3 linked regions of the Arabidopsis thaliana genome follow. The protein of the gene in region 1 purifies or fractionates together with the protein of each later gene. This does not show direct contact. Each region holds a gene or a part of one and is shown on either strand. Other genes may lie near its edges. The genes, in order: LHCB4.1, PGR5-LIKE A and AT5G19760.

Region 1 (11,093 bases):
TGTGCACTCAGTTGTACCAGGTAAGCATATTTCTTCCCTTTATCCAGCTTATTATTCAACGTTCAAGTAAGACTCATAATACTATACAGGATATGTTGACTGCAACAAGCGAGAAAACATTTTGCTGTGGCAGAGGTTCATGAAACCTCGAATCATCTTTGGTGTATCCCTTGAAGAGTTGTCTGGTCTGGAGAAATCTGTTTCTAAGGTAATCTTCTCCTTTCATCTTAACTGCATCCATATGTACTCTTGAGAGAATCTTCTGTTTGTAAGTCCAAGTTCTTGAAACTTTGATTTTTTCAGGTCAAGGCACTCCTTAAGATGTACACAAAGGAGAAATATATTCTTACGTTGAATAAGTTGAACAAGGATACTGAGTTTTCTGTGTCCTTTAAGGTAAAACCTATATTACACGACTTATCTGCTTCTCATTCTCCTCCAAAAGGGCTAAATTTAAAACCGAGCACCATACTGCATTTACTGACTCCGTCATGATTTTCCTTGTTCTTGCACTGTGAAGAAAGAACCTAGAATACGTTACTCGTTTATTTGTCTTTCAAGTAACCTGATAGAGAGTTGGGTATGCTTTGGTTAGTGATTAGTTGAGAGTCTTGAAACCCATTCATGGGTAATTAATTAGAGCATGTCAAGTTAGGACTGTGAGAGATCATAGGGATGACATACTGTTTGCTTCTTCTTAGTTGAATAAGCTTCTTGAGAAGCATATGAGGTAGGCAGTCATTTTTCAGAAATATCGGCTTAACCTACGGGACAAAGTTTATTCACCTTGCTGGAGAGTACTCTCAGTTACCGTGGCTAGAGTCGACCTTTTGTTGTTTTATCAGTAAAGTGTTGCATGATCTTAATATTTCTTTGCTTTTATCATTCTCGTTTGAAACTACGTTACTTTACATACTTTCTGGCTTTTTTTCTACTCCTTCTCCATCAAGTATATCGTGAATGTGAGGCCTAATCCATTTTGTTTTGCCTTGCCTTTAATTCATGAATGTAAAACAAATAATGCAGGTGAATGCCACAAGCAGAGACGTGTTGAGATGCCTTTGGCAAGCATATTGGTTAGAGGAGAACATGGAAGAAAGCTTTAAAGACAAGGATAGTGTGTTCCACTGGCTGAAGCAAAGCTTGTCGGAGATGGACAACAAGTTTGATGATTTCTTGTTCAAATTGGATACTGCTGGATGGAATCTACGTGAATCTAACTTGAAGGTTCCCAACCAAGTTCTCATAGACCAGGAATCTATCCCTTTCTAACACTCGATTGATTGATTCTTCAGACTCATCACGCAATCTCTTGAACAGAAGAAAATAACACTGAGGTAAATAATACCAAACCCTGTCAATTTGAGAATATGGAGTAGTCTATAGGTGATTTGTAGAAATATCATGTTCGGTACAGCTAATATAGTTAGGATATATCAGGCTTTGTATGGCAACTTGTTTAAATTTGTATTGTGTGACCTGATCCATATAAAATTAAGAAGAAAAAGTAAAATATCTAATAATAAGTTAGTGTGGATGATGAGACAAATGGTAAGGTTTTAGGCCAATGATAGTGATTATACCTCTTTTGTTTGTACTTGATTCGTCACCATTATTCTGCTTGCGTTTATTTTAGAATTTAGAGGTGGCTTTCGGAATTAAAAACAACAAGACAACAACATTTTATAATTTTGATTTGTATACTAATAATAGAACCAAACTCTGCTTCTCTCAGCTATTATTATCTAAGTACTGATATATTTCAAATTGTAGCATAAGTTCTGTATATGTATTAGATAGAGTTATCTTTTGATTTATTATCATATACGGATTAAATTTGCAGTTTAGAGCAATGTATTTGCAATTTTGTGAAAAGTGAATTTGCTTTATTTTTGTCTTCATTACTAAAGTTGAATTAGCGGTTTGATGAGTCATTATCGCTATTAATTTGTTTCCGTAATAATAATGATAAGCAATCATGTCACGAACATATTACTAATATTGTGGTGATTCTTTTGCCCTCCTCATCCATATTCATTGATTGTAAAAGCACACGTAGGTCACATACGTATCATCCTAAACCCCAAATTAAAAAAAAAAACTAAGCAATTTTTATACATGGCCTTTGGCGATCCAAGCATGCAAAAATATTCCATAAATGGTTAACACAAAATCATCGATTCTGAGGGGTTAACTAGGGTCCACTTTATTACCGTATGGAAATAGAGACACGTCAAAGCTAGTATTTGGACCTACGTACGCTCATGTATTCCGCCACGTGTCGTGGTTTCACTGACATAAAACACATGTCGGTCAGATAATTCTAGCTCTCACGACGATGAAGCAATGTAGGCTCACTTCCACTCACCGCCGCCTATAGCAGTGACACACGTCCTGTCACCGGCGTGTCACTCAATAATTATCAGATTTTCATTTTAATTAAATAATGTTATCCTATATTTGTTAGGTGGATCCCAACGGGAGGGCTTTATGGTAATTACCATTTACTCCTGAGAAGCTTTTATTTTTGTGTGTGGAGTAGTAGGAGAAGTGTTGCCGTTCCTTGTCGAACAAAAAAGAGCTTTAGACAGACGCTCCTCCCCTTTTGTAATATTTTTGATATTACGTGTGCTCTACGCGAATCTATCAATATCTAAATCCTCTCTTTCTCTCTCTCTCTCCTCCTTCTTCTTCTTCTTCCTGTCGCTGCCTTGTGGTTGAGTGAGCAAAAAAACTCAAAACCCTCCATGGAAATGGGAGAGAGAATCAATTCGAGTTGTTGTTAGGGGGTTTGCGATATTTTAGGCTTCTGTCGGTGATCTCGACCAAAAAAAATAAACAAAGGAGCTAGTAGGGTTCTGTTTTCTCTATCACTCGGAAGGAAGCTGGTTTATGTCAAAACTTTGTTCTTCGGAAAATGCGAAAATCGTTCAAGGATTCACTCAAGGCTCTTGAAGCTGATATCCAGTTCGCCAACACTCTGTAAATCTCTCTCTCTCTCTATTTCTTCTCTCTGTTTTTCTCTGTTTTGATGTTTCGATGTGTTGGTAGAATCTGATCGTGTTCTTAGTCGAGAGTGGTTGATTTGCCTCATAAATTTGTTTGATGCTGTGGTTAAATCCATATTTAGTTGGTACTTCGGTTTTCCCTTTGCTTGAGTTGCTGATTTTTGTCTCTTCCGATTCGATAGGTCAGATTGTTTTTTTACTTCTACTGAAGTTTCCAGAGGATAATCAGTTTTTGATACTTGTGAATCTGTATCTCTGTTGTCTGCTGGGTCTTATGTGTGCTGATGTCATATTGAATTTAAGACTTTGCGTTTACGCGAGCTCATAAATTCCAATTTATTCCTTAGCAAGTCTCAGACGCCACCACCACCTTTTGGTCAGATCACACAAAATCTATCTATAGTGGTCAATTCTTTTTCCTTTCGTCGTATATAGTCTCTGATGCTATCCTAAGTTGACTTGGTATACTTGGATTAAGCTGTGAAGCAACATGTTCATGTTGCGTACTAATCTCACCAATCATTGAATCAAAATGATTAAAAAAAAATGAACTATGTGTGTGTAGGGCGTCAGAGTACCCAGAGGAGTATGATGGTGGCTACGTTCAGATGAGATTATCTTACAGCCCGGCGGCTCATCTCTTTCTCTTCCTTCTTCAGTGGACTGATTGTCATTTCGCTGGCGCTTTGGGCTTGCTTAGGATCCTTATTTATAAGGTCTCTTATTAATTTTCCTGCTGTTTTATTGCTACTGGATCTTCAAGATCACAATGTTCTTGTCTGCCTGATATGTGATTCTCTGTTTTTTATTTATAGGCATATGTTGATGGGAAGACCACAATGTCGCTACATGAACGCAAAACTAGTATCAGAGAATTCTATGGTAATCTGTTAATCACTTATTCTCTCTTAATCTAAAGGTATAAGATTAGACCAGACGATATGTTTTTTTCTGACTAGCAATGGATGTTGTTGGGCAGATGTGTTGTTTCCTTCGCTATTGCAACTTCATGGAGGGATCACCGATGTAGAAGAAAGGAAACAGAAGGAGATATGCGACAAAAGATACCGTAAAAAGGACAGAACAGATAAAGGAAAGATGTCGGAGATCGATTTGGAGAGGGAAGAAGAGTGTGGAATCTGCTTGGAGATTCGAAACAAAGTTGTTCTTCCTACGTGCAATCACTCCATGTGTATAAACTGCTACAGAAACTGGTATATAAAGCTTTTCCTTCTTTTCACTCACTCTCACCATTCATCAGCCTTTTTCTTACAAGTTATAGAATCTCTTGTTTGGAATAGGCGTGCACGGTCACAGTCGTGCCCGTTCTGTCGAGGCAGCTTGAAAAGAGTGAATTCTGGTGATCTATGGATATACACTTGTAGCGCCGAGATTGCAGATTTACCAGCGATTTACAAGGAGAATCTGAAGAGGTTGTTGATATACATTGACAAGTTGCCTCTCGTTACTTCTGATCCAAATCTTGTCCCTTATGCTCCTCTTCCTCGGTGAACATTACATTCTCTCTGTTTCTTGTTATGCACATAGCAATTTCTTTCAAACAAATTTCATCTATTTATGTCCACTTTGTATATAATATTTATGTGTTTTTAGTTGGTTTTTCATCTTTCTATAGTCTCAGATTTGGGTTTGTATATAACAACCATTGGTTATTGACATTTAGATCAAAAATTCGATATCATATTTGCTGATTAAGGGTACTTAATCACATTTTGGTTCGTTTAAATTAGTATCTGTCTATCTGACTATGAATTACAGTAACCGATTGGTGTTTCAGTCAAACCGACTTGTTTTGATCGTTTTGGGGAGTAATTTGGTTTCGGTATGGATCGAATTGGCTGAACCGGAAACCAGCAATTTGAGTGAAGCACAAGACCGCAGTACACGTGGCTTCTTCTAACTGGGGTAAGAAATTATTTGACCCAATCAGATTGTACCTCATCTAGATTTTATTGCCAATGGACTTGAAACATCACCAGATAACGCAGAGTTTAATAGATAAGATTAGTAATCCTACTCACCGTCAGATGGATTTGTGAATCGATCCAACGGTCATAATCGTCTTTCCAAGATAGGCCAGCTCCGAAACTCACCTCCACGCATCTATAATCGTGTATCAAGAAACGGATCTTTCTTCTCTATCTTCTGAATATCACAAAACCCAATTAGCCGGAGATGGCCGCAACATCCGCCGCTGCTGCAGCTGCTTCTTCCATCATGGGTACTCGGGTGGCTCCCGGTATCCATCCCGGTTCAGGTCGGTTCACAGCCGTGTTCGGTTTCGGAAAGAAGAAGGCAGCTCCCAAAAAGAGTGCCAAAAAGACGGTGACTACGGACCGGCCTCTTTGGTACCCAGGCGCCATTTCTCCTGACTGGCTTGATGGTTCCTTGGTTGGAGATTACGGTTTTGATCCCTTCGGTTTAGGCAAACCGGCCGAGTATCTTCAATTCGATATCGATTCACTAGACCAGAATCTGGCTAAGAACTTGGCCGGAGACGTGATCGGAACCCGTACGGAAGCTGCCGACGCCAAATCGACGCCGTTTCAGCCGTACAGTGAGGTGTTCGGAATCCAGAGATTCAGGGAATGCGAACTCATCCACGGACGGTGGGCGATGCTCGCTACTCTCGGCGCTCTCTCCGTCGAATGGCTTACCGGCGTTACATGGCAAGACGCTGGCAAGGTAACGCCACTCCCTTCTCCACTTGGATAATCGGTTATAAGTTAGTTATTTCGAAGATGCTAATAAATTAGTATTCAAATAGTTGCGTTTGCGTTTGTTTGCGACTCAGATAGAAATGTATGTACAATTTAGTTGATTTAGCGTTTGCTTTGGCGTCTGTCTCTCTCTCTTTCTTACAGTTTGCGTTAGCATTGGACTGTTTGAGTTTCTGTTCAGTCAAGAATATTCAAGTCTAGTGTTCAATGAGTGATATTTAAATATTAGTTGAAATGTTGTTATTCAATCAGGTGGAGCTTGTAGATGGATCGTCCTACTTGGGGCAGCCATTACCTTTCTCGATCTCGACATTGATATGGATCGAGGTGTTAGTGATCGGCTACATCGAGTTCCAGCGCAACGCCGAGCTTGATTCGGAGAAGCGTTTATACCCCGGAGGCAAGTTCTTTGACCCGCTAGGTTTAGCGGCTGACCCGGAGAAGACTGCTCAACTTCAGTTAGCTGAGATCAAGCATGCACGTCTTGCGATGGTCGCCTTCTTGGGATTCGCGGTTCAAGCGGCTGCAACAGGTAAAGGTCCACTCAACAATTGGGCTACTCACCTCAGTGATCCACTCCACACCACCATCATCGATACCTTCTCCTCATCTTAAAATCATTATCATGTGAGATTCTATTTGTAACTTATGTAAAAACAGAGCTATGATGATACTGAATCGACTTTGGGCTTTTGCTTGTTTGGTTTATTTACATGTTTGGCCCATGACATTAAATTGGGCTTCTCCTTATTTACTATACCTACTCGTCGTACATTTTCAAAATGTATTTTTGTCGCATATACAGATTGGCCCAATAGCAGGAGTACAAGACCGACCCATTAGTTATGTTGTGATTATTTTTTCTTGATTTGGACAATGAAAAAGGAGAACCGTACAGAAAAACAAATAAGTCCACAGACAAAAAAAAAAAAAAAAGGATAGTCACACACCGCGTGGGATTTGGATGAACATGGGAGACTTGTCTTGTGAAGTCTCCTTGAAATTGATTCCGTGTCTCACTGTCACTGTTCCGTAATTTGGGAGGACATTGAATTATTATTTTTGTCGTTGATTATGACACATAACAAGCAGGTTCAATTACTAGTTTAGGAAAAAAAAAAAAGCAGGTTCAATTACTTGCTCGTATGCACTGAAGAAACAACCACAAAAAATGTTTTCAAACTATTGAACGTGGAGATTCGATGAATTGATTGTAATTCTAATATTCTTTTGAAGAAAAATATTCATTGAGGAATGAGGTTCGTCATAATCAATTATGAATATAGAATTGGCTGGTTCAACGATCAAAAATGGATAATCCGGACAATATAACAAAAATGATGACGTTAAGCAAAACATACAGTAATTTTATATAAAAAAATCATAACTGTATGAGTAATCTTTGTGACGTTACAAAATACTAATTTTAATTTTTTTGATAGTATGACTAATCTGTGTGACGTCACGAAAAAATTATATATTAAGGTTTTACCTCCCCGCCACATTCATTTCAGAAACTTTTAGCTATAGACATTCCAACAAATTTATTTTATACTATTGTTCATTAATCATAAGTACTAGTTAAATCATGTTTTGGTCTTTTGAAGCTAAACGATTTGACTAATTCGAAGCAAAAAAGTGAATGTGCTTTATCCACTACTGACTGATACGAGAAGTCGAAGAAACTCTGGTGATTGAGGTCGACGAAACATATCCTACCAACTTGGATCCGAATTCGCTTCTTGAAGACTTTGAATATCCCCACTCATCGTCAATCTCAGGTACATTCTCCTCTCCGTTTAGATACCTAAGCACGATTCTCATCGACGGCCGAGACGCCGGTTTTTGGTGGCAACAGAGCAATCCGACGGCGAGAGCAAGCCTTGCTTCTCCTCCGTCGTAACCAGATCCTAGTCTCGGATCAATCGCACTGAGAATCTCACCGTTCGCGTGAAGCTCCATAACCCAATCGACCAAGAAGAAGGTACCGGAATCCGTTGGTTTTCTCCCGCAAACGATCTCTAACAACAAAACGCCAAACGCGAAAACATCAGACGCAGATGAGGGGTTTCCGTTGCGGGAAAGCTCTGGCGCCATGTACCCGATGGTTCCAACGAGTGCTGTTGTTTCCGATAGCGTTCCGCGTTCGTAAAGCCTCGCGAGTCCAAAATCTCCCAATCTAGGGTTCATCTTTGAATCGATCAAGACATTGCTAGGTTTCACGTCTCTATGAATCACAATCTTCTCCCATTCTTCGTGAAGATACAATAAACCAGACGCGATTCCTTTAGCGATCTGAAAACGAGCGTTCCACGACAAAACGGCGCCGCTTCTTCTCGGTACAGTGTAGAGCAGAGAGTCTAAGCTTCCGTTGGGGATGTAATCGTAAATCAACAAGAGATCGTTTTTGTGTTTGCACCATCCTTGGAGGTTCACCAGATTCTTATGCCTTAGTTTCCCCAAACTCTCGATCTCTGCGACAAATTCTCGAACACCTTGCCTGCTACTTGGAATTATCTTCTTCACTGCGATGGGATCCGAATTCGGCAGTTTTCCTTTGAAAACGGTTCCAAATCCTCCGGTTCCGATGATTCCAGTCTTTTTGAATCCATCCGTGGCTACGTAGAGGTCTCTGTATCTCAATCTGCGAGGATGATCGATTTCCCAGTCTTCAAGAGTCTCTTCTTGTCCCAGTCTCTTCTTGTACATGACGAAGAAGAAGAGTAACACAAGCATGACCAGCATTACTGCCGATAACGCCACGATCATAACAATGACTTGAGAATTTAAACCTTCCTTCTTCGCCTTATTCGGCGGCGGCGGAGGAAGCTCCGAGAGGATTAGAACATCCGCAATTGGACGTTCTCCGCCGCTTGAGAAACTCCAACCCATCACGTAATGAGCACTTGACTGACCTTTCCCCGTCGATGCCGTGAATCCGACGTACATTTCTTCTTGCACAATCTCCAACAGTTTTGGAACATGTTGAGAGATCAAAGGCTTTGTGGGTTTAAACCCTAATCTCGCGGGATAAACGGTGACGTTTAGCATTTGTGTTGCTCCATCATACTCCAAAAGGGCTTGAATAGGATTGCCACTCTCAAGCTGGAAATCTTCTTTTTTGTTGTGATCATCATTGTTGTAATACACGACTGGTTCTTGGAGATCCGAAGTACGACTGTTGTAATTCAGACCGATGTCGTTTCCTATTCTGTCGGTGTTGTCGTCTCTTGATCCTTGCACCGTGTCGAATTCCACTGCGAATACGTGGTTCCTAGGATCCCCATTGTTCTCTTTGTTGAAAACTCCCAAGTACTGTGCGGATCCAGCATTGAGACGATAAGGTGTTGGAGATAGTGTGAATGTGAATCCAAAGCCTTTATTGCTTGAGCTTGAAGGGATTATGACAAAGACGAAAGACGTGCTAAAGGAACGAATTGTGACGTTTGTGGAATTTCTATTAAGCAACCTCACCGGTTTGTGGTAGAAAGCTGTACCGGTAACATTCGACTTTCGGTCAGTGAGTCTCAATAGTCCGTCGGGTTTGATCATCGCGGCTCCTTCAATCCGAATCTTCGATTGGTTTCCGTTAAAACCTCGGAAAGCAAAATTTGTTGTTGTTCTCTGAGCTCGAACATGGACGCTCAAAAACAGGAAAAGCTTGAATAAGAATGAGACTATGAACATGGATCTTTGTGTGCCCATGGGTGAGCGAAGTAAAGAAGGAGATAAAGAGATACTTTGAAGAGTTCTTTGTTAGATAATTTCTTTTATGGACATGAGATGAGAGTTTGTTTTTTTTCTTTCAGATTCTAATGAGTCAAAGAAGATGAAAATTATACCAAAACCAAAAAAGAAGAAGGAACATGGTACTTTCCGCTCAATGTTCACATTACCGTACATTGAAAATATATGGCACCCAATGTTTTTGTGAAAATTAATAAATAGAAAAAAAATATTAGCCATTTATTTCAACAAATAATTTCCATTAAGACTTGGACCAACATGTTTTAGTGCTTGAACTCTGTGGTTAAAAAGAGGTCCAAACGCAACCATCAGGCTGACTTTGACAAATTCTACGTTGACTTTAACATCATGTATTTTATATTTTTCCTTAGGAACAAGAAAGAAAAAAAATAGTCATATGGACTTGGACGTTTGTGATTAAACCTTAAAAGATAAAAAGATAAAATGTCCAATGAATATCGTTTAACCGTTTTAACTTTTAAGTGTTTTCTCAAACTCTCAAGTTTTTCTCTAACAAGTAACACCCACGTATAATTTTCTAAATTACCATTTCAGCAATATCTAGTGAGTTCTAAATTTCTTCATGGACTTGATTTGTCGATTGGTAACAAAATTTAATACAAAAAAGACGCAAATATACATGTCAATTTCACAAGGAAAATTTGCACTAATATTAAAATATCGATATTAATAATTGAGTGATATGTGTGTTATAGCTTTTGGGTCATGCTAAGGTTGCTAACTTGTAACAACAATTTAGAAATAGACAACCCAACATATTTATTTTTGAGTTTTATGTTTTTGCTCATTTTTAAAGCTTTTTTAAAAGCTAAACGAATTTAATTGGTGACTGATATTTTTCATCGTAGTTTAAAACTAAAGAGAATCAATTTCTAAGATTAATCGGCCAAGCATCTTAGCAATTTACAAATGTAAAATAAGATTCCAGTTCGTAGCCGTAAATGTTGCATACCGTCTGTTATTTAAAATTATTTTACCGCTCTTAGCTATACGCTTTTGTTAAACTAGCCGTTTGAATGCTAAATACCAAAAATACCATAAGAAGTGAAAAACAAAATTTGTACTACTGTTATTGCTTATAAGTTACAACAGAAAAAAACTCGAAGTAATTGACTTTGTACTATCTACCACTGATAACAGAACTAGAAGAAACCCTTGTAACGGAGAAAGATGGGACTGAGCTCGAAGCCCTATCCGATGAAACATATCCTTCAAAGTTGGATCCTAAATCGCTTCTTGAAGAATCCGAGTATCCCCAATCGTTATCAATTTCAGGTACATCATCATCTCCGTTCAAATACCTAAGCACCGTTCTCATGGACGGCCGAGACGTCGGTCTTTGATGGCAACAGAGCAATCCCACAACAAGAGCAAGCCGTGCCTCAACGCCGTCGTAACCAAATCCAAGTCTCGGATCCACCGCATGGAGAATCTCTCCTCTCGCGTGCAATTCCATAACCCAATCGGCCAAGAAGAATGTCCCTGAGTCAGTCGGTCTTCTCCCGGAGACTATCTCTAATAACAAAACGCCAAACGCAAAAACATCAGACGCAGACGAAGATTTGCCGTTGCGTGC
Region 2 (6,754 bases), on another chromosome or scaffold:
CAAAAGACAATAGTTATAAGATTTTTTTTCTGTCAACTATAAGAAATTGATCAAATTATATCTATATTTTATTTTATTTTTTCTTAAACTAAATCACAAAAAACTGAAAGAAAAAGAAAAACAAAACCTTACTAAAATGAGTAAAAATTGATTGCAAGTTGCAATGAAGGTGGTGATTTGTTTATATTTCCGTACTTCGCATTAACAATAGCTTACTGGAGAAGATGCTTGTTGATGTGTAGGTGGAAAATTCTGTTAACTAGTCACAATACTGATAAAAGTATATTTTCTTCACTAAATCAGAAATATACATTTAATTAAAAAGTTGGAAAAAGAGATTAATAAATCAAAATGAAAAGAAAAAAATAAAGCTTACAGTATGAAAGTTGGGGGGACTCTCTGATTTTTTTAAATTTTTTTGCATAATTTCACTGACCATTTTATAGAAAATAAAAAAGAGAAAATTCTCCATTCTGTAAAAGTCTTTACTTTTAGTAAAAAGAAAACTAACGATTATAGCCGTTTAACCAAAAACTAAAAAAAAATGGATGAAATTTCATTTTGAAGCCATTGAAACTATTTCTACAAAACTATTTATCTTAAGATACTCAATTAACACAAAAAGAAGAAAAATCAGAAAACAAATGATAATTATGGATAATTACTATTCAAATGAGTGTTTTTATTATACCTATCATCGGAAATTCTAGGAAGAGTTCTAGTTCCAGGAGCAGTAGGAGCTCTAACATGACCCACCATTGACACCTGAAGAGCTTCTTCTTCATAAGCTCTTCTCTCCATTTCTTCTCTCATTGCTTTCTTCTTCCCCTTCACCAACATCGCCACCACTAACATTCCCAGCAGAATTGCTCCAATCCCTGACCCTATCACACTCCCCACCGCCACTTTCCAACGGCTCAACTTTCCTCCTCCGTTGCCACCATTCACCTCCGTCGATGATGCCACCACTCCACCACTACTACCACCACCTTCATGATCATCTTTTTGAGCTTCTGTCTTCATCACGAGAGCGTAATGCCCTTGTCTTGTACCTTTACACACATACGGCGAGACTTGCTCGCTAAACGTTGTGTTACTGTTGCTTGTAAAACACGCACACAAGACTGACGAGTTCTTCTTCGTAGGGTTAGGGCTAGTGTTATTAGTTGCCTTGTTGATCAAGAAATCGATTAAGATTGGGTTTTGATCGGTACCTACAACATTAACCTCGTAAGGGTTCCTGGCCACACCGTCAGGGTTAGCATTATAAGCCAACAAACCAAGAACCGGTGACACGAGCTTGTAATTGTAACCGGATAAGTTATAACCAGTAGAGTAGATTGAAGACCAATTCGAACCAAAGTTTTGTCTAATTAGCATGACTCTCTCCGGACATGGCTCCACCGTAAGGCCTGAACCGATGTGAAACTCTCCAATTTTTGCGCCATATCTTCTCAAACTCCCACACCTTAACTTGACCGTGTCAATATCGATACCAGAGAAATTAGAAGGGAGATAGATTTTCTGAGTGACGCCTGTGTTGAAATTGAGCTTAAAGTTTCTAATGGTGTAATCTCTGATCATGAGATCAAGAAGATGTGTAGATTGAATCAATTGAGACTTAGATTGGTGGAATGATAAGAGAAGTATCATGATGATGATACAAAAAGAGAATGAATCCATAAGAGGAACAAGAGAATCTAGGGTTTACAAGAGGAAGTGAAGATAAGAGGAAAGAAAGAAAGTTTTGATGGTGTTTTTACTTTTGTGGGGGATGTGTGTTTTGGGACACAAACATTATAAACACTTACACTTCATTTGTCAGATTTCTCTTTTACCTTTATAGAAGACATGATCTAATTGTTAAATAAGCATATGACCGTTCTAACGTAGAGGTTTTAAAATTTTTAAATCAACGTAAAAGCAATTAATAGGTTCAGTAGTGGAGGAGAAAATTGGATCAATGATGATAGAGGCATGGGAAGATGATGATCATGATTACACTTTCTGTGTTAATTAAAATTCATAAAAAAAAATTGTAATCAATTTTTAGACTAAAAAAGAGAGAGACATTGGCGTGCTAATGTTTGTGTGACTTTATCCTCTTTTGTGCAATGTTGTTACCTTTGTCTGTCCTTTCATTATATATGTTCTTGACTTTAGTTCTCTTCTCAATCAATCTCTTTATGTTCCACACCATTTCATAAAATTTACATCCAAATTAACACCATGCATTTCTCATAGTTTCTTGCCTCGGTAAGCAAATGTATATAATCGTGTATGCTTTTCGTTTTCTTGACTTAAAATCATTTTTTAAGGTCGTTTTAGATACAAATCATAATAGTATTAGAAATGTACCAAAGTTAATTTGAAATTGTAAAGTTATCGAAATAAACATTTTAAATTCGAATTTGGTCTTTCATGTATACAATTTGATTTAACTATAGTAATGATTATATTTTTATCTACAAAGGTAGATGAAGAAGTGCTCATATTATATATCTCTTATTGCTTACACACAATACTTACAAATCAGAAAACATGTGAAGGAGAGAGAGCTAACATGGAAGATCTTACATATACATTTAACTTCGAATCTATTTTGCTTCTGACAAAACCCATTCTTCTTTTCCCATCTTCATCTAGCTGGAAAAAGCAAATTTTACTATCTCTGACTTCCATGTGATCTAAAGAATTTACTATAAATGAGATGTGTACCTCACAGGGTTTAAGCTTGGCTTCCTTCTGGCAATGTGATCAACCTAGAACCCGAGTCATACACCATCGCGGTTCCGCAGCTAAAAACAGAGATAATCAAAGAATCAGATAGTAATATGTTACACTTTTGAAACCATATTCGAAGGTAAAATCTTACTTGGTGCATTTGACAGTGTTGGTTTTGCCGCCGCTGGAGATTGACAGAATTGTTCCAAAGAAGGAGGTGTTTTCCGTTCCACAATTCGGACAAGGACCCTGTGAAACAAGAAACATTCATAAAAAGGCTCTTTGATGTTTTTCTTTTGCAATCTTGAGTAATGGTAATGGTTCTTACCTTCAAGATCAAGAAGTCCTTGATGATCAATTTGGTGATTGATAAAGCCAGATATACAATCACAGGCACAGCAGCGAACCAAGTGAATATGAAACTGTATGGTTCTGGAAGCTCCATGATGTATGTGATCTCAAAACCTGTAATGTCGTCCAGGAAGAAAAAGCTGCAAGTACAGAATTGAATGAATAAACAAAGACGAAATATGGGTTTCATATGATTTGGATGTTTGAATAGAAAACTCGGTATAGAGACTCACAGTCCGAGAGCAACAACGGTTGCTGGAACATTCAACAATAACATTTTGAAATAATCTACAGCGAGATCACTATACACCTACATTTGAGGAAGTTCATAAAGACTGAAAATTAGTATCTATCTATAATCTAATATTAACAATGAATCTTATGTTCTATTTACCTTTTTACTACGGAGACTGCATCTTGGACCCTCGCTCACAATGTCGCTACCATCAATCTACATGGATACAGAAAGAATCATAAACTTGAAGCTTAAACCAATCTTATAAGGGTATGTCTATTTTCACTGAAGCATAAAAAGTGAATGGAAACCTTTAGTTTGAGTTTGAGCTTATCATATTCTTCATCATTCAAGATTGGATTTCCAGAAACATAAGCCATGGAAGCTTCCAAGAATCTTTGTTCATCGGAACCTGTGTTTCATATTACCAATAAAAGATTTAGGACTTTGCACCAAAGAAACCAAAACAAAGAAATGAAATTTAGTCCCATAGTTGATGATTACTTAGCATCACAACACTGCTTCCTTCCCACATTAACTCTTCTTTAAGGTTATCAAACTCTTCATTAGACATGATCGCTTTGCCATCATAATAGAAAGACTGTAATCAAAAGACAAAAGCAATTCTCAGGCTCTTGAAGATTAGATATATATCATGTTTTGGCAACTATAAAAAAAATGGTTTATTGTAGCGTTTACTTGCAACGCTTGGAGAAACTCTTGTTCCATTTCACCAATTGTTTTCTTCTCAGCCTTGTTGATGCTACAATAGGGCAAAACATTGCTATCGACGTTGTCTCCTCCTACTGGACCTTAAGGAAGACAAAAAGACTGTAATTGAGAACTTCATAGCAAATCTAAAGTTGATACCTTACTTATGCAACCTAATAGTTACACAACTTCTGACATTGCAAAACTTTAGTACAGAGTTAACCACTAAATAGTCAACAAAGTCCAATACAAACAAATATACTATACCAAAGTTATAGCCATTGAATCAATCAAACCCTTCAAAGAATTGAACTTTAACAGGATTCGAGTCTGGATACTACAAGTTAGTGACTTAAAAACATAAATTTTCAGAGCTAGAGACGTTGAATTAAAATAATATATCCTAAATTTCAAAAGGCTCAAACTTTGGAAACCCAATTGTGAACAAATTCGAATCCAAATGGCTTTGTAAACAGAAAACTAAGGCGGAGTGTTCGAAATCGAGACTAAAGTGGCCAAATCAAGACCTGATTGCTCTGTTGTGGCTTTAGCAGGCAACAAGAAGACTCTTCTTCTCAAAGAAATCGATTTTCCAGGGCTGAGCTGAGTCCATTGAGTCCTCGAAGACGGCGACGGAGGAGAAGGAGAGAAAGAAGAGGAAGGTTTGCGAGAAACGGCGGAGAAAAGTCGAGGACTTGTCAAACTAAACAACATCTTGCTACCCATTTTCCCTTAGAGATAGAAAAGGGAGCTCCTTTTTTTCCTCTGTTTTTTTCAGTAAGTATGAACCTGTGGTTGAAGATGTGTTTACTGTGAGCTTCTCAGGTTTCTTCTGATTTTTTTTTTTTTTTTTTTTTTTGGTTTTATTATAAATTTGGAGGGAAGAAATTAGGAGATAAGAGAAGTGTGGAGATAAATTCCTAGGCAGATTTCTCTTATTTTTTCCTTCCTCTCATCCTCATAATCAGAATATCCACGTCAGCATTAAATATCCGGTTTTCTTAAACAAAACAAAAACTTAAAATAGAGAAAAGACATAATTTTAGGCTTTGATTATACAATAAAAAAAATACTGTGAGATGAGTAAGAAGATTTTTTTTTCGAAACATGGTGATTTTTTAAAAAAATTTGACATGTAGTATGTGTAGTTGAATTCAGCTGATAATATACTTTAGTACAAACCATTAAAATAAAAATGAGTTCCAAATTTTAAAAAACAAACAAGATAAATAATTTAGTTTTCCAAAAGAATTATTGATCCACATACAATTGTCTATTTGAAATTGAAAACCAGTCAAATTGTTTTTTTAGTAATTGATTTCCAAACTACAAAAAGAAAATGTGGTTAGTAGAAGAACTAGTAGAGGTGAACACGTGGAGACACGCTTAAAGCACGCGACGAAGAACACGTTGATAGCGATTATGGGTTTAATTCTATTGGGCCTTTTCTGGGAGTCTAGACCCAAGCCCATATAGTAGTAATCTTTTTGACCAATCAGTCAACCCAACCATCCTCTCCCGTTGACCGTGAAGTGAGTCACGCACTTACCTCACAACAATAGCACTAACCACCGGTAGCTCTACAATGTCTCTTAGTTCGGTAACAAACTCTTCTAACTAAAAGTATAGTAAAAACTTTGCTATATAAGAAAGAGTCTTTGCACATTTCATTTACTTGCAACCAATTACAAAAAAGAGTGTAAGAAGAAAAACAAAACAAATCCATTTTTTTTATTACTCTGTTTTTTCCCCTGTTTTTAAGTTTATTTACTTCTTACTCTGTTTTCTGCTCTGTTTTAGCTTTAAACAGAAGACTAAAGAAGATGGTTGCGGTTGAAAGAGTTGAGAGTCTAGCAAAAAGCGGAATCATATCGATTCCAAAAGAATATATTCGTCCAAAAGAAGAGCTCGAGAGCATCAACGATGTTTTCCTAGAAGAGAAGAAAGAAGACGGTCCTCAAGTTCCCACAATCGATCTAAAGAACATCGAGTCAGACGATGAAAAGATCCGTGAGAATTGTATTGAGGAGCTGAAAAAGGCATCTTTGGATTGGGGAGTGATGCATTTGATCAACCATGGAATACCAGCTGATCTAATGGAGCGTGTCAAGAAAGCCGGAGAAGAGTTTTTCAGTTTGTCTGTGGAAGAGAAGGAGAAGTATGCAAACGATCAAGCCACTGGAAAGATTCAAGGCTATGGAAGTAAATTGGCTAACAACGCGAGTGGACAATTGGAATGGGAAGATTACTTCTTTCATCTTGCGTATCCTGAAGAGAAGAGAGATCTATCAATTTGGCCTAAGACACCAAGTGATTACATGTAAGCTTTGAATTGTTTTACTAAAGAAAACAAAATCTTGTTTTGGTTTTAGAATCTTTTATTAACGTTTTTCGATGATTGTAGAGAAGCAACGAGTGAGTACGCGAAGTGTCTTCGTTTGCTAGCGACTAAAGTCTTCAAGGCTCTCTCTGTCGGTCTAGGTTTAGAGCCTGACCGTCTAGAGAAAGAAGTTGGTGGTTTAGAAGAGCTTCTTCTACAAATGAAGATAAATTACTATCCAAAATGTCCTCAGCCTGAGCTAGCACTCGGTGTGGAAGCTCACACCGATGTAAGCGCTTTAACTTTCATTCTACACAACATGGTTCCGGGTTTGCAGCTTTTCTACGAGGGCAAATGGGTCACTGCAAAATGTGTTCCTGATTCGATTGTGATGCACATTGGGGATACTTTGG
Region 3 (11,093 bases), 6.5 Mb from region 1:
GCATTGAACACCAAAAACCCTTGTAAGCCAGTACAGTTGTCGGCAAGCTTCCTCACACGGTCAAGACATAGATCCACAATTTCCTTTCCAACTGCAATTACAAGAAGCATTCTAAGGACCATTTCAAAAACCCTAACAAGTTAGAACAAGCAGAAAGTGGATTCTCACCAGTGTAATGTCCTCTAGCGAAGTTGTTAGCAGCATCTTCTTTCCCAGAAATGAGCTGCTCTGGATGGAAAAGTTGACGGTAAGTACCAGTACGAACTTCGTCGATAACGGTAGGCTCGAGATCAACGAAGACAGCCCTAGGAACATGCTTCCCAGCTCCAGTCTCGCTAAAGAAAGTATTGAACGCATCGTGTGCAACACCAACTGTAGTATCACTGCAACAGAGCAAAACATTCGTCTCTCAAAAACCTTCAGATCCACAGAAACAGAGTATAAAAGAGAGAATTAGGGTTTATACCTCGGCATCATTCCGTCGGGCTGGATTCCATGTTCGAGACAGTAAAGCTCCCAGCAGGAATTTCCGACTTGGATCCCGGCTTGTCCGATATGAATGCTAATAATTTCCCTCATCTTCTCTCAGCAGAAACCCTAATTCGAGCGATGCTCTGCGACAGACGGAGAAGGAGGAAGACGGAGATCGAGGAAATGAAGGCGGTGAGAGTGAGATCTTCTTTTTTTGGTTCAACTTCGTTGGCAAATTAGGTTTATATTTTGTGAAGGGAAAATGATTAATTTATTGAATTGGATTTGATAATTTGTTGGGGTCCGCCATTTTGTGACAGCCTGCCTTGGGTCCCACGGCTTCGCTTTTGTTCGAAAATGAGTTCATTTTACAATATTGCCCACACGATCCAGTTCATTCTACAGTTTCTCAATTTTGGCTGGCATAAATATCTTCGGCGGATACATGTTACTTATTGTTATGGACCGGATTGGTTTACGTCAATTTAGGATATAGGATCGAATCGTGGATTGGTTTATCGATCCGGTTCAATGTTTTTTTCATTATTGTTTGTTCAAACAGATTCTACAATTTTTTTTTTTTTGAACACGTTTTAACAGATTCAGTTGTGTTGATCTACATAATGACAAAAGTCACATAAAACTATTGGTCATGATCATACTATAGTTGTTTTTATATCATCAATTTTATTTAGTGATATGCTTTATGAATTAATAATTATGGATGGACATTTAAAACACCAAAAAAAAACATAATGGACAACTCTTTGGTATTTAATGGTTTTTAATCAAAAAATTGATTAGGTGGAAACAAAAAAAAAGTGGGTGCACAAATGAAAATATACAGGGTCATTCGATTATATATACTAGTAAAAATAATATGAACCTCTCAATAATATATGTATAAGATTATGTGAAGTTATTGGGTCGGCAGTCGGCACCTAACGGGAGTGAGATCAAATGGATGTAATCATGTAAACTTATGTGCAGAAAAGAAAATAATGTAAACCTATGAATGAGTAGATTATTAGTATTGTTTAGTGTTTCTTGGAGATGTAAGGGTTCTCACATCCACATTCTACTTCATCTTCCTCAAATCCTCTGCAATTGTTTTGTTCCCTTTCTTAAAACGATTTGGGAATGTTCTTAGGATATTGAATGTAAAGTAAAAAGATTTGTCCCTAGTCTGAAATCTATTCATTTTCATGATATTGTGTGAATGAGAACCACCACAATACATAACTGAAGTTTTAATAAATTACATGCAAAAAATTTAAATAACTATTTATGTAATAGTTATATATCTCTCTATTCATTATTTGTGTTCATAAACAAACCAAGTCATGTGGAAATATGAAATAATTGTCTTGATGACATATTTAATCAAACAATTCCTTAACCCAACCCATTTCCAATCATATCAACTAGCATTTTTGTAAACTCGCAAACTTTGTGACCGTTATGTACTCTCTTCGGATTCACGGTTTCACTCGACCGTTGTCTACTTTACTGTATACTCTCTTTGGGAATTTTTTAGTCTTAAGGTTAACTATCAATTGCTTTAGGATCATGCATTTTTTTGTCTTTTTGTTAGTTTGAATGGATGAAAATTCCCTTAAAACATTATATTTATAGGATTGAATTGCTACTTAAGCTATCTTCCTAACCGCATGCATGAATTCAATGGATTTGATAATCGTTTATCTTGAAATCTTGATCCATTATATCTAAACAATTGCTTAACCCACTTTGACATCTTTAATCTGAAACCGCTTAGGAAAAATATGCTATATAGAATTAATATAGCTGATTGTCTCAATTCATCTAACTTAACTTAGCAATTAGAGAATTAATCTAGCTGACTATCTCAATTCATCCAATACAATCTTAGAATGATCAATTTATATGAGTTTATCTTTCGTATCATTACAATCATTTTGGTTATCAAACCATCATTTTGGTCGTACCTTTATCCACTCATTGAAAAATATAAAAATATTTGGCTCCGATTAGTAATACGCGTAATTGCAAAATGACATTTTTTTAATACGAGTATATAAGAATGTTACCAATTAAGAAAATTAACATAATATTTATTAAAACGCAAAAATACAGAATTTTTGTTTTCTTCATAGAAAATAAAAATAAAAATTCATTATGTAAATACATATTATATGTATATTTAATTTTAGACACATATATTTGTTTGTTTTATTATGCAATTTTTCATTCTACAAATTTATAGTTTTGCAAATTTTTATTCTCCTACTTATGTCATTAAAAGGATTATACGGGGTTATCTCAGAACTTGTGATTTCAAATCTTGAAAACACGTTTTACGTAGTCAATATTTATGTAAGTTAATTAATAAATAAATGCACTAAGAGAATCAAAATCTTATAACAAAGACAACCTTACATGACGTTTCTTTTCTGTTTGGCGCTTACAAAAACATCCTACTATAACCAATAGTTATTTAAACCACTAAACCCTAATTTAACCTATAATATCGATTTAGGTCGGTTAAGCTATTATTTACCTCACTCATACTAACGAAATACCTAAATTCCGGTAAGTTATTTAAACCGGATAAAAATCGACACCTTCCAGATCTAGATCCAGATCGAATCTCACGTATTTTGTCTATGCCCAGTCCCAAAGGCAGGCTGTCACAACTTGGCGGACCCCAACCAATTATCAAATCTCATTCAATAAATAATCAATTTCCCACAAAAATCATGGAAATTAGGAAAAAAAGAAGATCTCGCTCACCGCTCTCATTTCCTCAATTCTCCGTCCGTCGAAGAAGCGAATCGCTCGAAATTAGGGTTTCTACTGAGAGAAGATGCGAGAAATCATAAGCATTCACATCGGACAAGCTGGGATCCAGGTCGGAAATTCGTGTTGGGAGCTTTACTGTCTCGAACATGGAATCCAGCCGGACGGAATGATGCCGAGGTATAAACCCTAATTCACTCTTTGTACTCTGTTTCTGTGGATCGGAAGATTTTTGAGATACGAGTCTTTTGCGTTGTTGCAGTGATACTACAGTTGGTGTTGCACACGATGCGTTCAATACTTTCTTTAGCGAGACTGGTGCTGGGAAGCATGTCCCTAGGGCTGTCTTCGTTGATCTCGAGCCTACCGTTATCGACGAAGTTCGTACTGGTACTTACCGTCAACTTTTCCATCCAGAGCAGCTCATTTCTGGGAAAGAAGATGCTGCTAACAACTTCGCTAGAGGACATTACACTGGTGAGAATCCACTTTCTGCTTGTTCTAACTTGTTAGGGTTTTTGAAATGGTCCTTAGAATGCTTCTTGTAATTGCAGTTGGGAAGGAAATTGTGGATCTATGTCTTGACCGTGTGAGGAAACTTGCCGACAACTGTACTGGCTTACAAGGGTTTTTGGTGTTCAATGCTGTTGGTGGTGGAACTGGTTCTGGATTGGGTTCTCTGTTGCTAGAGCGTTTGTCTGTAGATTATGGAAAGAAGTCTAAGCTTGGTTTTACCATATACCCTTCTCCTCAGGTACTCTTTCTTTTGCTAGACACTGAAGTAGAAACTCTTACATGACATGTTTCTATAGTGGTCTAATTTGGATGAAACTTGGTTTTAATGCATATTCCTCTGTGATGTCAGGTTTCTACTGCTGTTGTAGAACCTTACAACAGTGTTCTCTCAACGCATTCCCTTCTTGAACATACGGATGTAGCTGTCCTCTTGGATAACGAAGCCATCTATGACATTTGCCGCAGATCCCTAGATATCGAGAGGCCAACCTACACAAACTTGAACAGGTTGATATCACAGATCATTTCATCCTTGACAACATCTTTGAGGTTTGATGGTGCCATCAACGTGGATATCACTGAGTTCCAGACCAATCTTGTCCCATATCCCCGTATCCATTTCATGCTGTCATCTTATGCACCAGTCATCTCAGCCGCCAAGGCTTACCACGAGCAGCTATCAGTCCCTGAGATCACCAATGCCGTTTTTGAGCCAGCTAGCATGATGGCAAAGTGTGACCCGAGACACGGAAAGTACATGGCCTGTTGTTTGATGTACCGAGGAGATGTTGTTCCCAAAGATGTTAATGCTGCTGTTGGCACCATCAAGACAAAGAGGACTGTTCAGTTTGTTGACTGGTATGATCTAGAAATGGATAAAGCTGCTACTGTTTCTACCTTCATGTTGTTATTATATAATAACTCCTTTGGCATGGGTTTTGTTTTGCAGGTGCCCAACTGGGTTCAAATGTGGAATCAACTACCAACCTCCAACAGTTGTTCCAGGTGGTGACCTCGCTAAGGTTCAGAGAGCTGTATGTATGATCAGTAACAACACAGCAGTTGCAGAGGTGTTCTCACGGATCGACCACAAGTTTGATCTCATGTATGCGAAGAGGGCATTTGTCCACTGGTACGTTGGTGAAGGAATGGAGGAAGGTGAATTCTCTGAGGCACGTGAAGACTTGGCCGCACTGGAGAAAGATTACGAAGAAGTTGGTGCTGAAGGTGGAGACGATGAAGAAGATGAAGGTGAAGACTATTGACACCTTTTCTCAAAAAAACTGCAACCAAAAAAAGTTTTTTCGTTTATCTGTTTTCACTTTTGATTCTGTTGATTGTTTAAATCCTGTAAAATATTCGTTCGGTCTTCGTGTTTTATCTCGGTTGGATACATTTTCATTGGTAGAGCGACCATTGCGAGTTCCCGAGTTCATTATCAAGCTTTTGTTGTACCAAACTTTGATAATCTTCTTACAACTGTCCATTTTTCCTTGAAGTATAATCTCGTCTATCGGTGCGCTAACGTTTATCAACGTTCTGTATATGCTTTGTTGTCGTATCAGCTAATAATACATTTATGAGATTCAACTAATGTTAACAAACCACGTTGATCTTCACAAAAGGGCATCAGAATTATCAAATTGCATCAGAAATACTGCTCCACTGGTCCACTATCTAAAATACGGCGTGAAAAATGCCAAAAATTATTGAACAAATACAAAATACAAATACAGAAGATCAATTTTTTTAAAAAATTAGAATTTATTGGACCCAAAAAATTCAGAATACTAACGATTTTCAACTTCATACTAGAAAATTAGAAATGGACGAATGTCAAATCTAAAATTCATATGAATGCGTAATAAATAACTCTAAATATTTGGATTGCGTAAAATCCGAATGGTGAAAAGTAAAGTCCAAATTAATAAATTTAGAAAATATGTCTGGCTTAGATCAGATCTCATATGCAAATGGAAAAAAATAAAAATTAAAAAGGCAAGGGTTTGGTGCAATTTAGTTTCAGTTGGGTGGTGTTAATATAAAAGGCCCATAAGCTTCACACTTCATCGTCTCCTCTCCACCAAGTGAATCTCTTTCTCTCTCTCTTTTTCTCCGCGGAAGGAATCTCTTCTTCTGGTTGCGTTTGAGTCCGTACGAAAACAAAAGAAAAGAGAGAGATGGCGGAAGAGAAGAAAGCTCCAATCAGTGTCTGGACTACCGTGAAGCCCTTCGTCAATGGCGGTGCCTCTGGTATGCTCGCTACTTGCGTTATCCAGCCGATCGACATGATTAAGGTCTGTCAAATGTTTACGGATACACGTTTCTGTATCACCCATCTCTATGTCTAAGCTCGTTAGTATTAACAATTCTTGCTTGATTTGCTGGTATTGATACCTACGAAATCCGTAAATGTTGTTCATCAGATCCGAGTCTGTAGATTTTATCTCTCAGATCTGAGTTTTTGTTTTGGCTTATTATAATCAAATTTCATTGCTCGGAACATAGTCAGACTCGTTTGAGTGTGAATTGTTGCTATTGATACATGTTTAGATGAAATGTTCTAGTTCAGATCTGGATTTTGATTAGAATAACGTTCTTAGGTTCATCACAATGTGTGATTCTTCGCCTGTGTTCATAGGATTTTTAAATGATGTGAATGTAATTAACTAATACTTTGTTTTGTTTCTGGTTGGTGAAGGTGAGGATTCAACTTGGTCAGGGATCTGCAGCCAGTATAACCACCAACATGCTTAAGAATGAGGGCGTTGGTGCCTTCTACAAGGTATAAATTGCATTTCTGGATGCATTACTTATCTTGAAGATGTACGTTTTGTGTAGTATGTTTTCTATTGATATGTTCATGACTTTTGTTGATTTGTAATGTATATGATTTCTGCATTTCCGGATCTGAGTCTCAGCTATTCAAAGAATTAATTTCCTTATCTAACAGTCTTTCCAACAACAACATTAGTTATACCCCATTGAAGATGTCTCCTGAGCTTATTTGATGTTAATTTTTTTTAATAGGGATTATCTGCTGGGTTGCTGAGGCAAGCAACTTACACGACAGCCCGTCTTGGATCATTCAAGTAAGTTAGTCATTCGTCTTTCGTCTTGAGCCCATCCAGATGAATAGATTTTTATTGCCTTATGGTTATGGATAAATCATCCTCTCTTCTGTCAATCTTATTAGGTTGCTGACTGCAAAGGCAATTGAGTCTAATGATGGAAAGCCTCTACCGCTGTATCAGAAGGCACTATGTGGTCTGACAGCTGGTGCTATTGGTGCTTGCGTCGGTAGTCCAGCCGATCTAGCACTTATCAGAATGCAGGCCGATAATACTTTGCCGCTAGCTCAGCGCAGGAATTATACCAATGCTTTCCATGCGCTTACCCGTATTAGCGCTGATGAGGGAGTTTTAGCACTTTGGAAAGGGTGTGGGCCCACTGTGGTCAGAGCTATGGCTTTGAACATGGGAATGCTTGCATCTTATGATCAAAGTGCTGAATACATGAGAGATAATCTTGGTTTCGGGGAGATGTCTACGGTCGTAGGTAAGCTGCTCTTCCAAGTTTCTCATACAGTAAGAATATATTTTTTCTGTGAGCAGGTAGATAGCAGTTAGAGTCAAGGATCCTAAGAATCAATCGTCTTGGAAATTTACATTTGTAGCATATAATCTCCTGATTACACGAGTGTTAGATTGTCATAAATTAAATGTGTATTTCACTTAATACAATCTATCCAAGAACTACACCAAGGAAAATACTTTATTAATGAGAGGACTCTCTAAACTCTCAACCGTTGCCCAAACCCAGATCTAAGACCAATCCAGAATGGATCCCATTGCGTTGTCCTTACTCCCTTTTAAGAGCTACTAATTGTAAGGTCGCTCAGTTGGCAAAACTACACTTTTCTCAACTTCCTAGGCTTGTTACACTAGTTCTGCACTAGACTTAACAAGAAACCTTTATCAGTATTTTCATATGGTCATGTAATCTCTGTATGATAAATTGTAGTTAAAATAGATCTCTGAGTTTGGTTTTTGTTTACTTTAACAGGAGCAAGTGCTGTTTCTGGGTTCTGCGCTGCGGCTTGCAGTCTGCCATTTGACTTTGTCAAAACTCAGATTCAGAAAATGCAACCGGATGCTCAAGGAAAGTATCCATACACAGGTTCGCTCGATTGTGCGATGAAAACCTTAAAAGAAGGAGGACCTCTGAAATTTTACTCGGGTTTCCCAGTTTACTGTGTCAGGATTGCCCCTCACGTCATGGTATAATAGCTCTTATCTCCCTTTTTTGTTTATGTTATTGTAATTACCACTTCGTGATTGCCTCTAAGATAGTTGTTGATCGGGTTTTCTTTTGGCAGATGACATGGATCTTCCTAAACCAGATTACGAAATTTCAAAAGAAGATTGGTATGTGAGGAACAAATACAGCAGCAAAAAAATAAGATGAGAAGAACGAAAACACAATTGGAATTGTGTTCATTTGCTTTTTAATCATATACATAACCTGCCTTAAAAGCATATTATTGTAGCTGTTTGAACTTTAATTTTTTGTTTCGGTCGGTGATTGGTCCGGTGAATTTTAAATTTTCTTCTTTGGTGGAAGTTTAAGACACATAGCCAGAGATTTCAAAATTTTCATACGAACTAAAAAAATTCTCTGAATGAGGAAACAATAAATATATGAAACATTGATGATGGGGAAATATTTGAAGTGCTTGAAGAAAAGCTTGTTTCAACTCTAAGAAAATGTCAAGTGCAGGGTTCCCAAATAATTGTTTCGAAACACCAAACATTTGCATCAGCAGACAAGACCGTTTCCCCAAAACTCTGCCGATAACAATCCAGCAACCACCTCTAGGCTCCAGGTAAGAAACATGTCTACTTTGCAACAACTTCTTTGTGAGCTTTGAATGATAAAATCACATTCCAAGCCAAAGCCACTACGTTTGAAGCAAGTACCTGCAATAATTCATATATAAGACATCGATTCATCCTCAAAGCCAAAGAAAATCTTGCTAAGCATACTAGCTAGAAGCTAATGTCATTCAAGCGTAATTCATCTCAAGCTCATCATGTCAAAGATGTTTTTAACAAGGGCTCAAAAACATGAAAATGCGTAATAAATTCTCAAAGATTATACTAAGCAGAGGATTAACAGCGTGTGGGTCGTTATTCGTTATGTATGAAGCATATCTATCTTAACCCAATTGTATTTTTTTTCAGACTCCCGTTTCATGTAGTCACAGAGTTTAGTATCAAACCTGGTAGTTCTGTGGAACAAATCTGAAGTTAAGAAACTGAAATGGTATCCATAGCTGCCAATTTGCTATCATTGCACCAGTCCACTCCTATACAACCAGCAATTCATGGATTCAATTAGAACACCGCAAAAGATACAAAGTATCAAATTTAGATTCCTGCACCGGAAATATTAAGTTTAGTTAGGTTTTAATCCAACCTGTTGTAGCTTCGGTATGACATTTGATGGTTTTCCTTCAAGTGTCACAACTGCTGATAAGAAAACTCCAACAAAAATAGGAGCAAAAACAAACTGCAAATACAAATTTTGGTGTTAAGTGCTAACACAGAGGAAGCAAGATGGGAACATAATTGTTAGACTGGGAACAGGAAACTTTGCTACCTGATCCAGTAGAAGTCGTATAACTGCGCCTGATAATCCAGAAGCTGTCACCACTTTGCTCAAATACAAATACCTAATGGATGGAGTTGAGAGATTTCAGAGAACAGAGAATAAGCATAAGTAATATACCAATGGATGCATAAGTCTCTTCAACTGAAGAACCACTAGCAGAGACGTAATATAGTTAGCTTTTGCGGTGTCATACGAGTGAAAGGTCCACGGAAATACCAGAAATGCAATGTTGGACCGACTAGCCCTAAGCCCAAGAAGGTAAAGGTGAGTGTCCTCTTCTTGTCCAGCGATGAGGTCTTGTTGATAGTAAGCTGCAACCAAAAGTGATACGAATAAGCAATGTCGCTCACATATCTAGCAGAATACGATCAAGCATTATAAAGAAAATGGGGCTTTACTACATTATCCTGTATTTTGGGTCTATTAGCTTCCATTCTAACTTTAAAAAAGAGATAGCACAATTCAAGTTAAAGTCTGTCTGTTCAGAAATACATAATGCAGCAGCTCATGAATACTGTTTTATCTCGATATATCCTGAATAGTGAAGAATCCAAACTTCAAAGATAGCACAAAAATGAGAGAGTTACCTGACAGATCAAATCTCCAACGAGGTTCAAAAGTGCTGCGGTCACAGCTTTGGTCAAAACAGGAGAGTTTGAGAGAAGAGCCTGGTACCTGAAGCACCATAGAAAAAGGCACACAAAGTGTGTTTATGCTCAAGTCAAAAGCAAAGAATCATACTAGAAAAAAAGTGTTCCGTGAGTAAATTATTAACACATCCAAGAAAAATTTCCAACATCTGCTTCAATGAATTGCTTTTCAAAGAAACATCTTTACACAAGAACAGGAGTAGTGACAGGAGCAAGTAAGAAAAATTACCATGAGAGAAGTGACCACTTCTTTCCTTTTCCGTCGCTTCCATCACCACCACCGCCGCCGGAACCACCACCACCACCGCCTGAACCACCTAACCCGCCAGAGCCACCTGAATTCCCACCTGGGACCGCAGAGACCCGGACTAGATGCCCAAACGCAGTCCCAGAACGCCCCGGCCAATTGCTCCGACCACACTTCAGTGAACCAACATTTTTGTACCCAAACGAAAGAGCCTTGCTCGAACTACCTTCCGTTATAGTTCTTCGACCAAAAGACGAAGAGTGATTACCTGAAAACCCAACAGAGTTGAACGGGAGTGGTGGTTTCCGGGTTAAAGTGATAGAGTTAAGCATCGTTGTTTCGTCTGGTCTGAGACTGAACGGCGTTGACTCTAGCTTTTACAAGTATAGAACTCCTGAATCTAGCTTCCGGTTGTATTTTGGGCTTTTATATGGGCTTTAGTAATGGGGTTTTATATGGGTCTTCATATGCTGATATGCATCGAAGCGACGCCGGAGTGTATTGATCTCACCGGAGGTTTTCAAAGCGTTTCAGGGTTTAACTTTAATCAAAAGAAACAAATTTTAAGCAAAAGAAATAGAGGAACTACAAAATGTAAACACCAAAACTGAATAAACTTGTGACAGAATCTTATCTGCCTTCATTATGTTCACATCATTGTGCTGAAGCAACAAGAGCATTCTTGATCTCATATCAGTTCACCTTTTAAAACAAGTGAAGCATGTCTAATAGCTCTAGAGACTCTCCAAATCTGGTGT

What was found.
Region 2: the proteins of LHCB4.1 (region 1) and PGR5-LIKE A fractionate together in Arabidopsis thaliana (co-fractionation; one large-scale study listed by BioGRID). This does not show direct contact.
Region 3: the proteins of LHCB4.1 (region 1) and AT5G19760 fractionate together in Arabidopsis thaliana (co-fractionation; one large-scale study listed by BioGRID). This does not show direct contact.

Annotation. Positions count from the first base shown.
Region 1 is NC_003076.8:203,880-214,972, forward strand, and holds LHCB4.1 (light harvesting complex photosystem II), read left to right. Parts: upstream 1-4,986; 5' UTR 4,987-5,204; coding exon 5,205-5,714; intron 5,715-6,001; coding exon 6,002-6,364; 3' UTR 6,365-6,669; downstream 6,670-11,093. Other genes in the region: RUS5 (root UVB sensitive protein (Protein of unknown function, DUF647)), read left to right, coding at 1-20, 90-208, 304-396, 1,027-1,272; AIRP2 (RING/U-box superfamily protein), read left to right, coding at 2,918-2,982, 3,574-3,724, 3,824-3,890, 3,988-4,222, 4,310-4,520; LECRKA4.1 (lectin receptor kinase a4.1), read right to left, coding at 7,406-9,454; LECRKA4.2 (lectin receptor kinase a4.1), read right to left, coding at 10,638-11,093.
Region 2 is NC_003075.7:12,005,150-12,011,903, reverse strand, and holds PGR5-LIKE A (PGR5-LIKE A), read right to left. Parts: upstream 4,919-6,754; 5' UTR 4,748-4,918; coding exon 4,549-4,747; intron 4,123-4,548; coding exon 4,010-4,122; intron 3,912-4,009; coding exon 3,815-3,911; intron 3,723-3,814; coding exon 3,622-3,722; intron 3,527-3,621; coding exon 3,470-3,526; intron 3,386-3,469; coding exon 3,309-3,385; intron 3,216-3,308; coding exon 3,053-3,215; intron 2,974-3,052; coding exon 2,876-2,973; coding exon of another isoform or gene 2,872-2,875; exon of another isoform or gene 2,799-2,871; coding exon 2,729-2,798; 3' UTR 2,719-2,728; intron 2,647-2,718; 3' UTR 2,368-2,646; downstream 1-2,367. Other genes in the region: AT4G22900 (transmembrane protein, putative (DUF1191)), read right to left, coding at 652-1,683; LDOX (leucoanthocyanidin dioxygenase), read left to right, coding at 5,845-6,341, 6,426-6,754. UniProt on the Arabidopsis thaliana protein: Ferredoxin-plastoquinone reductase involved in cyclic electron flow (CEF) around photosystem I. The homodimer is probably not involved in CEF.
Region 3 is NC_003076.8:6,676,698-6,687,790, reverse strand, and holds AT5G19760 (Mitochondrial substrate carrier family protein), read left to right. Parts: upstream 1-5,736; 5' UTR 5,737-5,945; coding exon 5,946-6,062; intron 6,063-6,466; coding exon 6,467-6,550; intron 6,551-6,795; coding exon 6,796-6,857; intron 6,858-6,961; coding exon 6,962-7,323; intron 7,324-7,830; coding exon 7,831-8,045; intron 8,046-8,143; coding exon 8,144-8,200; 3' UTR 8,201-8,485; downstream 8,486-11,093. Other genes in the region: TUA5 (tubulin alpha-5), read right to left, coding at 1-91, 169-383, 467-579; TUA3 (tubulin alpha-3), read left to right, coding at 3,317-3,429, 3,512-3,726, 3,804-4,003, 4,115-4,623, 4,715-5,030; AT5G19750 (Peroxisomal membrane 22 kDa (Mpv17/PMP22) family protein), read right to left, coding at 8,664-8,744, 9,047-9,133, 9,244-9,336, 9,427-9,499, 9,655-9,749, 10,026-10,113, 10,318-10,667; AT5G19740 (Peptidase M28 family protein), read right to left, coding at 11,024-11,093. UniProt on the Arabidopsis thaliana protein: Catalyzes the transport of dicarboxylates, such as oxoglutarate, oxaloacetate, malate, and succinate, and of tricarboxylates, such as citrate, isocitrate, cis-aconitate, and trans-aconitate by a counter-exchange mechanism across the inner mitochondrial membrane.